Drosophila melanogaster: one gene and its partner. The protein of the gene in region 1 interacts with the protein of each later gene in a pairwise test. Each region holds a gene or a part of one and is shown in the gene's direction. Other genes may lie near its edges.

What was found.
Region 2: the proteins of CG3894 (region 1) and Pgam5 interact in a two-hybrid assay, tested with the Drosophila melanogaster proteins (one large-scale study listed by BioGRID).

Annotation. Positions count from the first base shown.
Region 1 is NT_033778.4:24,761,224-24,767,488, forward strand, and holds CG3894 (uncharacterized protein), read left to right. Parts: upstream 1-1,943; 5' UTR 1,944-2,031; coding exon 2,032-2,442; intron 2,443-4,365; coding exon 4,366-4,501; intron 4,502-4,554; coding exon 4,555-4,860; intron 4,861-4,926; coding exon 4,927-5,042; 3' UTR 5,043-5,527; downstream 5,528-6,265. Other genes in the region: CG3880 (uncharacterized protein), read left to right, coding at 65-922, 979-1,323; CG12848 (uncharacterized protein), read right to left, coding at 1,387-1,749; GstE12 (glutathione S transferase E12), read right to left, coding at 5,618-6,194, 6,252-6,265.
Region 2 is NC_004354.4:1,871,595-1,875,158, reverse strand, and holds Pgam5 (phosphoglycerate mutase 5), read left to right. Parts: upstream 1-1,593; 5' UTR 1,594-1,628; coding exon 1,629-2,186; intron 2,187-2,252; coding exon 2,253-2,564; 3' UTR 2,565-2,759; downstream 2,760-3,564. Other genes in the region: Vps26 (vacuolar protein sorting 26), read right to left, coding at 1-798, 878-1,021; CG14803 (uncharacterized protein), read right to left, coding at 2,808-3,564. UniProt on the Drosophila melanogaster protein: Displays phosphatase activity for serine/threonine residues, and dephosphorylates and activates Pk92B kinase. Has apparently no phosphoglycerate mutase activity.

The DNA of each region.
Region 1 (6,265 bases):
AGCGTGGGACTATACGATTCATAATCTCATCCCACTTTCCATTTTGCGCCATCCGCAGACGAAGATGCTCCGCCAGAACAAGAATACCAGTACCAGTCTGCTGAACCTAAGCATAGGCGATGTGGGAGGCAGCCATCCACAGGGGCAGTCGCAATTTTGGGAACTGGATACGCTGCCTAAGCAGTTCGTCCTGTCCATGAAAAAGCTCTTCGACATCTTAGATGACAAGCAGACCGGATACGTGCGCTTCACGGACATCGAGAAGGGCTGGCAGGATGATGGCTCCAAGGGACTGCCACGCGGAGTTGTGGACTCACTCCGTCGGGTCACTCCCAGTAGCGGACTTCTCTCCTTCGAGCGGTTCTGCGCCGGCCTCAAGCTGTGCCTGCTCCGCAATCAGCAAAACGCTGTGGAAGACCTGAAGTTGCGGCCTCGTTCCCACGGAACTCTTGCTCCGGAGATGGAGTTCCATTCTCCTGCTCCGCCGCCAAAACCTCCACGACAGGTACCCAAGTCCCCTGCTCTGGGTAAAGACGACATTCGCCATGCCCTCCAAAACTGGCAACTGAACCTGATGGCGGACGCAGGAAAGTCAAAAACGACGCAGTCGCGGGAACAATTCGAACACCGTGGATCGGCTGACGGTGGCTCTTCCTCCACCTCTGCTTCGGCCACCGACTGGAGCCTGGCCCTTCCGGCTGTGCCCAAGAAGACCAGCAGCAAGCGCAGAGAGTCGCGGAGGCACACTCTGCAACACGGCATCGATTACAACATGCTAAAAAGACTGAAGCAATTGGAGGAGCAGCGGGAACTGCTTCTTTTCGGACTCGATGGCGTGGAGAAGGCACGCGATTGGTATATGATGCAGGTGCTCAATGTACAGGAGCAGATAAAGTATTTCGGCCGTTTAGGAACCCGATTTGTAAGTAGTCCTCTAGCTTGTAATTAATAGTTACCCCTTTCCTGATTTTCGCACAGGATCAGTGGTCTGAACTGCAGCAAGAAAGGCTAAACTTTCAACGCGCCCGCGTTTTTGAGGCCAATCGCAGCCTCCAGATTCTGGCCGACACCTGGGAGCACGGCGGCTACCCACTGCACATTAATTTGGCTGTGCCGACACCCACCGTCCCAAAACCGAGGCAGATGTCCGATCTGCTCAGTCGGGTTCGCGAGAAGCCGCCGCTTCTGTCAGACTTGTACGAGGCGCAGCACTCTCATTCCCATCCGCAGTTCCTGCGTGCCATGCCCAACTTCGTGCTCAGCCAGCCCTCGCCGGTCAGCCAATCCTCGGCCGGGCTGGGAGACGCCGACGTGGTCTACTGACGAATCAATGCTGCTGCGTACATTGTAAATAGTGTATTATTAAACAACTTGAACTATGTAAAGCTATACGGGATTGGGGTAGCGGCGCATGTACTTGTTAAGTTGCTTGTAGTTCAGGTTGCTGCCCGGTTGGACGATTCCCTGGTTCACGGTCTTCTTCGCCTCAAACTTACGGTCCATGTAGCACTTGTAGCAGTTCTGGAACTGGCTGATCTCCTTGTGGCAGTACTTCTCCACGAATTCGTTGTCTTTCAAGCAGGCGAACAGCACGCCCATCTCCTGGAGACAGGCCACATCGGATCCGGAGTCCGCCTTCCCGCTCACGGTGTTCTTCAGCCGCAGAGGCAGAATCTCCTGGAAGGGCACGTCCTTCTCGCTTTGAGGCGCTCGGCCGCGCGCGGCAAACAGGGCTCCGGGTACGCGCATCTGAAACCCCTTGGCTCTGTGAGTCCGGTCATTTCAGTCAAAAAATACGATTTTACCCACCTCGTAATTTCCACCGACTCCTGGACAACTGAACAGCTGCTTCAGATTACGTCACGAACTGGTTCCTGCTTTTGGTGGTGATTGCCAGTACGTCTGCAGCCCTGGTATTTCGTTTAACATAAGCATACGGTCACACTTAGAGTCTCCGTGGAACAAAAGGTAAATAATCAACCTGCGGGCACGCCAGGAGATTCTTCAAGGATCACCGAAGACCACGCGCACATGGAAGCCGCCGAGCAGCTCGACGAGGCGGCAGCACCAGCCGCCCTTTGCGCGCCTTCGCGTGCAGCCTACGCGGCCGCCGAGCAGGAAGATCCAGACCCAGACCAGGAGCAGGACCGAGGCCGGGAATCGCCCATTGGTTCGTTGGAGTGCGCCCCCACCCTGAGCAGTCGCAAGCGGCAGCTGAGTCGCTTTCATCCATACCACGGGTCCAATATCCAGTTGGGCGACGACGCCACAGTGGCCTACCGGAGAGCTAGTTTTGCCGACGCCCTGACATTCTCGGAGCGTCCGCTGGCCCCTGGGGACATCTTCTTGGTGGAGATCGAAAAGATAGAGCGCGGCTGGTCGGGCCATATGCGTCTTGGTCTCACCGAACTAGCGCCCAATGTGATTCGCACCAGCAGCGAGGGAAAAAAGGCGCCTCAGGAGAATCTGGTTTTTCTCGCGCAACCCAAGGGACAAGGCAGCACTCAACAGAGCCATCAAGGAACTCAAGGACAAGCTGTGTACCCTACGGCAAGACTCCTTCGACAGATTCCTTGAGGAGCTGGAACCTGGTGACCCGCAACATAATCTGTGGCAAGTCACGCGTCATATCAGGAGGCCTGCAAAGAAGGCGTCGCCGGTGCGAAAAGCGGACGGCTCTTGGTGCCGCTCTGAAGCCGAAAGAGCTGAAGCGTTTGCAGATCACCTCCAGAATGCATTCACACCATTTGACAGATGCACTGGCGAAGAGCGTGCTGCAACCACCAGGTTCCTAGAGAGTCCATGTCCTCCTAGCCTGCCCATAGAGCCCGTCACCCCAGAAGAGGTTGCGCAAGAGATCGCCTCCCTAAAGGCTAGCAAATCCCCAGGACTGGATCGCATCGACGCCACATCCCTTAAAATGCTGCCACCGCCCTGTTCCCAGTTGTTGGCCAACATATACAACAGATGCTTCTCACTAGGGTACTTCCCGAGATCATGGAAACGTGCAGAAGTCATTCTCACCCTCAAACCTGGAAAACCTGAAGCCAATCTTGCCTCATATAGACCGATTAGTCTGCTGACAATCCTCTCCAAAATACTCGAAAGAGTATTTCTGCGCAGAGTCATGCCAGTACTGGACGAGGCTGGACTGATCCCTGATCACCAGTTTGGCTTCAGGCGATCCCACGGAACACCAGAGCAATGTCACCGGCTCGTAGCACGCATCCTAGATGCATTCGAGAATAAACGATACTGTTCGGCCGTATTCCTGGATGTCAAGCAGGCGTTCGACAGAGTGTGGCATCCTGGACTCCTCTACAAACTCAAGTCCCACCTTCCCAGTTCCCACTATGCCCTACTCAAATCGTATACTGAAGGAAGAGAGTTCCAAGTGCGATGCGGTTCCTCAACAAGCACGACAAGGCCTATACGAGCCGGAGTACCTCAAGGCAGCGTCCTTGGTCCCATCCTCTACACCCTGTTTACAGCAGACCTCCCTATCATACCCTCCCGTTACCTCACAGCAGCCACCTATGCAGATGACACGGCGTTCCTTGCCACCGCAACAAACCCTCAATTAGCATCAGCCATCATCCAGAGGCAACTGGATGCACTGGATCCATGGCTGAAACGCTGGAACATCATGATCAACGCTGATAAATCCTCCCACACCACCTTCTCTCTGCGCAGAGGAGAATGCCCCCCGGTCTCACTCGACGGCGACACAATCCCTACCTCCAGCACCCCCAAATATTTAGGGCTGACCCTAGACAGAAGGCTGACTTGGGGCCCCCACATCAACAGTAAGCGTATCCAGGCCAACATACGCCTAAAGCAACTCCACTGGCTCATGGGTAAAAAGTCAAAGCTGCGAGAGAAACTAAAGATTCTCGTCTACAAGACTATTCTCAAGCCAATCTGGACGTACGGAATTCAGCTGTGGGGCACTGCTTGCACATCACATAGAAGGAAGATCCAGCGATTTCAAAACAGATGTTTGAGAATAGTCTCCAACGCCCATCCCTACCACGAAAATTCCGCCATCCACGAGGAGCTCGGGATTCCATGGGTAGACAACGAAATCTACAGACACAGCGTGAGATATGCTAGCAGACTGGAGAACCACCACAACCACCTGGCCGTCAACCTTCTAGACCACAGCCAATCCCTAAGACGCCTGCAGAGAACGCACCCGCTTGACCTTACTCAACATACTTAATCATACTTAACCCCTACCCAAGTACACTCGATGTACTCCCCTTAAGTTAATGTTTCCCTCCAAAAAATTTAATTATTGTCCACTAGGACAGATTTTAAATAATAAATAAAAGGCTACACAAAAAAAAAAAAAAAAAAAGCGAGGGATTACCCCATTTCGCACTTCCCGACCTCGCGAACCTAGGCAACAGCTGGATCTACCCAATCTCCAAGTTCGAAATGAACCAGCGCCAGGATGCAAACGACATCATCGAGCCTGAGACGGACGACGCGCCCCACAGTATGTACAGTCTTTAATACCATGCGCCCCTGTCTATAGCCAGTCTTTGGCAGGAAACCTTCTTGGCGACGCTACGCACGTGAGAACGCCCCGCGGCCTTCTACCAAAGAGACTTCTACGTCCGGCGATGGGCAACGGCAATGACTCAGACATCCTGCTCACGGACAAGGGCTCCCGCATCGGCATTATATACGTGCCCACTGTGCAAAGCGACTCGAAGGGCGAGCTGCACTTTATCATCAACGGGGTGGATCGTGGCCCCGTTTCCCGAGACATTCCGCTCAACAGAGCGCCTCTGTTCGTAGTGATCGATGTGTATGGCACCACCAAACAGATTCGAATTATCCAGCTAGAGGGCAGTAAGTGAAATAGATCGGGATGTGAGATGGACTTCTTTTTATTTAATCCATCCCCCCTTTCTGCAGTTTTGTCCCTGCAGAGCGCTTGTCGCAACGTTATCCTGGAGAGCTTTGCGGAGGACGCGATCAGCGAGCTGCCACTACCGGAGAGCATCAAGCGATTTCTGCTGCGCCGCGACTAGGGCTCTGGACCATGAGCTCTATGAAATAGGGCCCAGTGAGTGTGAATGAGAAATGCGTGTTTGGGGAAGTGTGCATGAGCTTGGGTCGTGATAGTCTGTTTACCCATATATATATTGTATACGCCTGCAGCGCTAGTGAAGGGCCCTTTCATTGACGCCCGACTCCGGACCCTAACAGATCTACGGATCTGGCCGATCTCCGCTAGAGGGCGCTTATATTTGTAATTTCTGTAGATATATTTTATACTTTGGTTCTAGTTACCAATACACTCTTTACCTGGACGACCTATGTTGTAGATCATAATCCTCGCCATCGTTTGTGTATGTGTGGATCACCAACACCAGCGGAGGTCTCCTGGGCGCCCCGACTTTTAGCGTTTCGGTCCCCAAGGCGATGCCCGTTTCCATTACCGCCTAAGCGTATTGTTGCTATATGTAAGTTAAGTCCACTTAATAAAGGATCGATCAAAGTCGCTGTAACTGCTAAAATCTTACTTTGATCTAATCCGTTTATTCAAAAGTGGATATGCATATAGAATGTGTGGATATAAAACAAAACATAATAGAGCCGCCGCCTACTTGCCACGGTTTTCTGCCAGCTTGGCCTTGAAGATGCTCTTAAGCTCGTCAGCGCCGTCGCCGTTTACCTCCTGGTAGTAGGGTAGCTCTGCCAGACGCTTCAGCCAGGCGTGCATCTTGGGAAACTTAAATTCATCGATGGGAGCGGTGTCGTTCACCGAGGTTACGGTGGCCACGGCGCAAAAGTCTGCGATGGTTAGATCAGAACCACACAAATACGGCTGATCCTTGAGGAATCCCTCTAGGATCTCCCAGCACTTCTGGATGTATGCGATCTTGTCGATGGAGCAGTCCGTCGATCCATAATACAGGATGGGCTCGTAAAGGAAGCGCAGGCGCGCGAAGAGGTGGCCGGAGTCCAGATGGAGCCGAGCATCCACGTTGGCGCGCTGCACCAATTCCTTCGGATAGAGCTGCTGCTCCTTCTGGCCATACTTCTCCACCAGGTAGGCGCAGATGGCGTGCGAGTCAATGATAGTGGCCTCGCCGTCGATCAGGGTCGGGATGGTGTGCTGGGGGTTCAGCTTGAGGAATTCCGGAGTCAGATGCTCTCCCTTCAGCAGGTTAATTGGCCTGCATTCGGGCGAAAACTCTGTTAATTGAGTTAAGTGGCACGGTGTGGGAACCTACCGTAGTTCAAGGTC
Region 2 (3,564 bases), on another chromosome or scaffold:
AACGTGTTGGTGCTGCTGTTGCTGGTGCTGCTGAGCGCCATGGTAACGCGGTTTGTCTGCCTTGCGCCACAGCGTGATCTCCTGTTGTTTGAAGTAGCGCCGGTCCTCGGTGTCCATCAGCACAAGGTTGAGGAAATACTTGACTGAGAACTTCTTGTTAATGTCCCGCATGGTCGGCGTGAGATTGTAGCCAGCAAGAAAGACCCGGATGGGTATGCTCTCGCCTTTGACGGGCGCTCCGTCCATGATCTCGTACTTGGCAATCGTTTCGTTTTCGTTAAACATGGTGGGGCCCGTGCCCGTGCTCTCCTTCTTGATGATCGCAATCTCCATGTGCTTGATCTTAATGCGCACCAACAGGAAGTAGATCTTGCCGATAATCGTGTCCCGCAGGTGGTACTTGCTTTTGTTATACTCGAATTCGATGTGCAGGCAGTCTTCGATGCCTACCTCCATCTTGATGGGGTTGTTCATCTCCGGGTAGCTGCACAGTGTGTGCACGGCGATGTCGACCTCCTTCGTTATGTCGCTGATCCGCCTGACGATGGTTGCGCGCAGGAAGTACCGCAACCGCACGTTCGAGCCGGCGTACACCTCGAATTGCTTCTCCACTTTGGGGAAATCGAATGGATAGCTGTTGTTCTGGATGAGATCGCCCGGGCGGGCCAGGGCCTTCGCTAGACACTTGAATTCGTGGTGGTTACCCCGGTCGTAGTACAGTTCGATCTGGCCAATGAATTCGATCTTAATGCCCTGGTGCTCCAGCTTGCTGCCCGGCTTCTTGAGGGTCACGTTCACCTGGATGAAAAGGGGGTGGATATGGGTTTATCTCTGGTTATGCTTGGGGGAACTCCCCCCGATGCTGACCACGACGCACCTTGCCGGATACCGTCTCCCCGTCGTAGAATAGCAGCATCTTCTCCACTTTGCCGTCCTCCCCTTTAACCTCTGCCGTCTTGTGCTCAGCTCCATCAAAGACTATCTCAATGTCCGCTGACTGGCCGAATCCCAGGAAATTCATAATTGATAAACGTCGAATCGGCTTCTTCTTCTTCCGTTTCTTATTGCCCCCGCCTCTGCTTCTTGCTGCTCCGATGGAATGTCGACGCTGTGACTCCTGTTGGCGGCTTTTCCTAGAGATATCTTTCTGATAACCCCTTCAATAAACCTCAGCTTTGATAGGCGTTTTTCTGCGGCCTTTTTACGTCCTTCGTTCCGATGCTGGCGTATCTGTCGCGTCTGTGTGTGTGAAATGAAAAAAATTGCAATTTTTCACACTACGGCGTTGCCATATCGCGTCAACCTGATTGTTATTAAGGAGTGCCAGCGCTGGTACTTTTCAGTATTCAGTATTTGCATGGTATTTCTTTAAGAAACACATACGGAATAATTAACGAAACAATTGATTGTGGATCCTTAATTTTCTTGGTATACAATAATTGTGTAAATATATTTCGTATTTTTGATTCATCTTGGTAACTTTTCGATAGTTGAATTCTAAATGGTCTTGCGCGGTATTTATATACCCGCTAACCTAGTATGTCAAATACCAAATCGCAGTATTTAAATACCGCACTTATTCAGCGGAACAAAACTAAAATTAAAGAAAATACCTAAAAGCCCTAACGATGCGAAAGTTGACTAGCTTCGTGTGCGGCACAGGAGCCGGACTGGCGGCTTACTACCTACAGCGGCTGCGGGACCCGCAGACGGTCGTGCAGAACTCGTGGACGCACAGTGATAAGCCGGTGGATCCGTGGGCCCTTTGGGACACCAACTGGGATTGCCGGGAGCCACGGGCCCTCGTGCGTCCACTGCGAAACAGCCAGCCGGAGGAGGAGAACCGCTACAACGCGGAGCTTGAGAAGGCGAAGGCCAAGAAGGCGCGCCACATTATCCTAGTGCGGCATGGCGAGTATCTGGACGTGGGTGACTCGGATGACACGCATCATCTCACGGAGCGCGGCCGCAAGCAGGCGGAGTTTACTGGGAAACGGCTCTGCGAGCTGGGCATCAAGTGGGACAAGGTAGTAGCCTCCACAATGGTGCGGGCCCAGGAGACTTCCGATATTATTCTCAAGCAGATCGATTTCGAAAAAGAGAAAGTGGTGAACTGTGCCTTCCTGCGTGAAGGAGCGCCTATTCCGCCCCAGCCGCCAGTCGGCCACTGGAAGCCGGAGGCATCTGTAAGTCAAGTCAAGGGTCAACCCAGTGCGTATTCCACATGATATTCGGCTTTCATTTCACTGCAGCAGTTCCTTCGCGACGGATCGCGCATAGAGGCCGGCTTTCGCCGATACTTCCACCGCGCCTATCCCGACCAAGAGAAGGAGAGCTATACCCTGATCGTGGGACACGGCAACGTGATCCGCTACTTTGTCTGCCGAGCCCTGCAGTTCCCCGCCGAGGGTTGGCTACGGATTAACATTAATCACGCTTCCATCACCTGGCTGACCATCAGTCCATCCGGCAACGTGTCCATCAAGTACCTGGGCGACTCCGGCTTTATGCCCGCCGAGCTGCTTACCAATCGCATACCGCGCGACGTCAAAAACGTGGTTTAGCCGTCTGTTTATAGAACTGCCCAAAGGAGAAGCAATCATAATGTATTTATTTCCAACACTTTAACTGAGACCTTGAGCACAGATCGCGAGACTGTGTAAACCACCATGTACATTTTGCCGCACCGTAACGTATATCTCTTAAGGAGGAATCATTGAATCTTCCGACTGAAATAATAAAGATTTTATAGAATGCCTAACATTTTATTGAGAATCCTTATATGTACAAAAGAAGCCATGAGGAGCCTAAACCCTGCTCAAGACCTTTTGGAGTCGCTGCAAGCACTTGCGTATGCCCACATCTTCTCCAGCGCCGCGTTTTAGCTCCACCTGCTCTGCCTGCTCCCTTATAAAGGATAGGATGGGAGCCACTAGATCCGGCGCCAGCTCTGCCAGGTTGATCAGCATCTGGAAGTAAAAGTAAGTGCAGTGGGCCAGGTGCTTTTCGGCGAGGGATCGCAAGTGATTGGAGCACATATCCCTGACCGCCTGTGATCGCTTGTAGGCATCGTGCGATATAAGCACTTTATAAAGTCCAAACACTTGGTTGCGACTGAGGTCCACTTCGTCCACGAACATTACGTGTTCCAGCAGCGGGATGTGCACGCCGCGCAAAACGGTTAGCAGCTGTTCTTCCTGCTCTTTGCCAGTGCTCTCTATCAGTTGCTGCATTATAGTGATCACCAAGCCCGCATGCTGTCCTGCCCTCCGCCGCTGGACCACCAAAAACTGGGTAACGAGGAGCTGAAGCACAAACTGCGCCAGCTCTCCATCTACATCCGCCTGGAGGAGGGTGGCATATGGACGGGCCACCAGCTTGGCGTTGGATGAGAAGCTAAAGTGCGGCGTCCAGTGCTGAACTAGTTGCTCCAAAGTCTTGGCCACGTATGCGTCCGTGCGGTAAGGCAGTCGACCAATGCCTTGCAGCAACACTGGGAAAATCTTGTGAACCACTTGTGGAAGGCGACCTTCGGGCGGCACTCCTGCCTGCAACTGCGTGGTG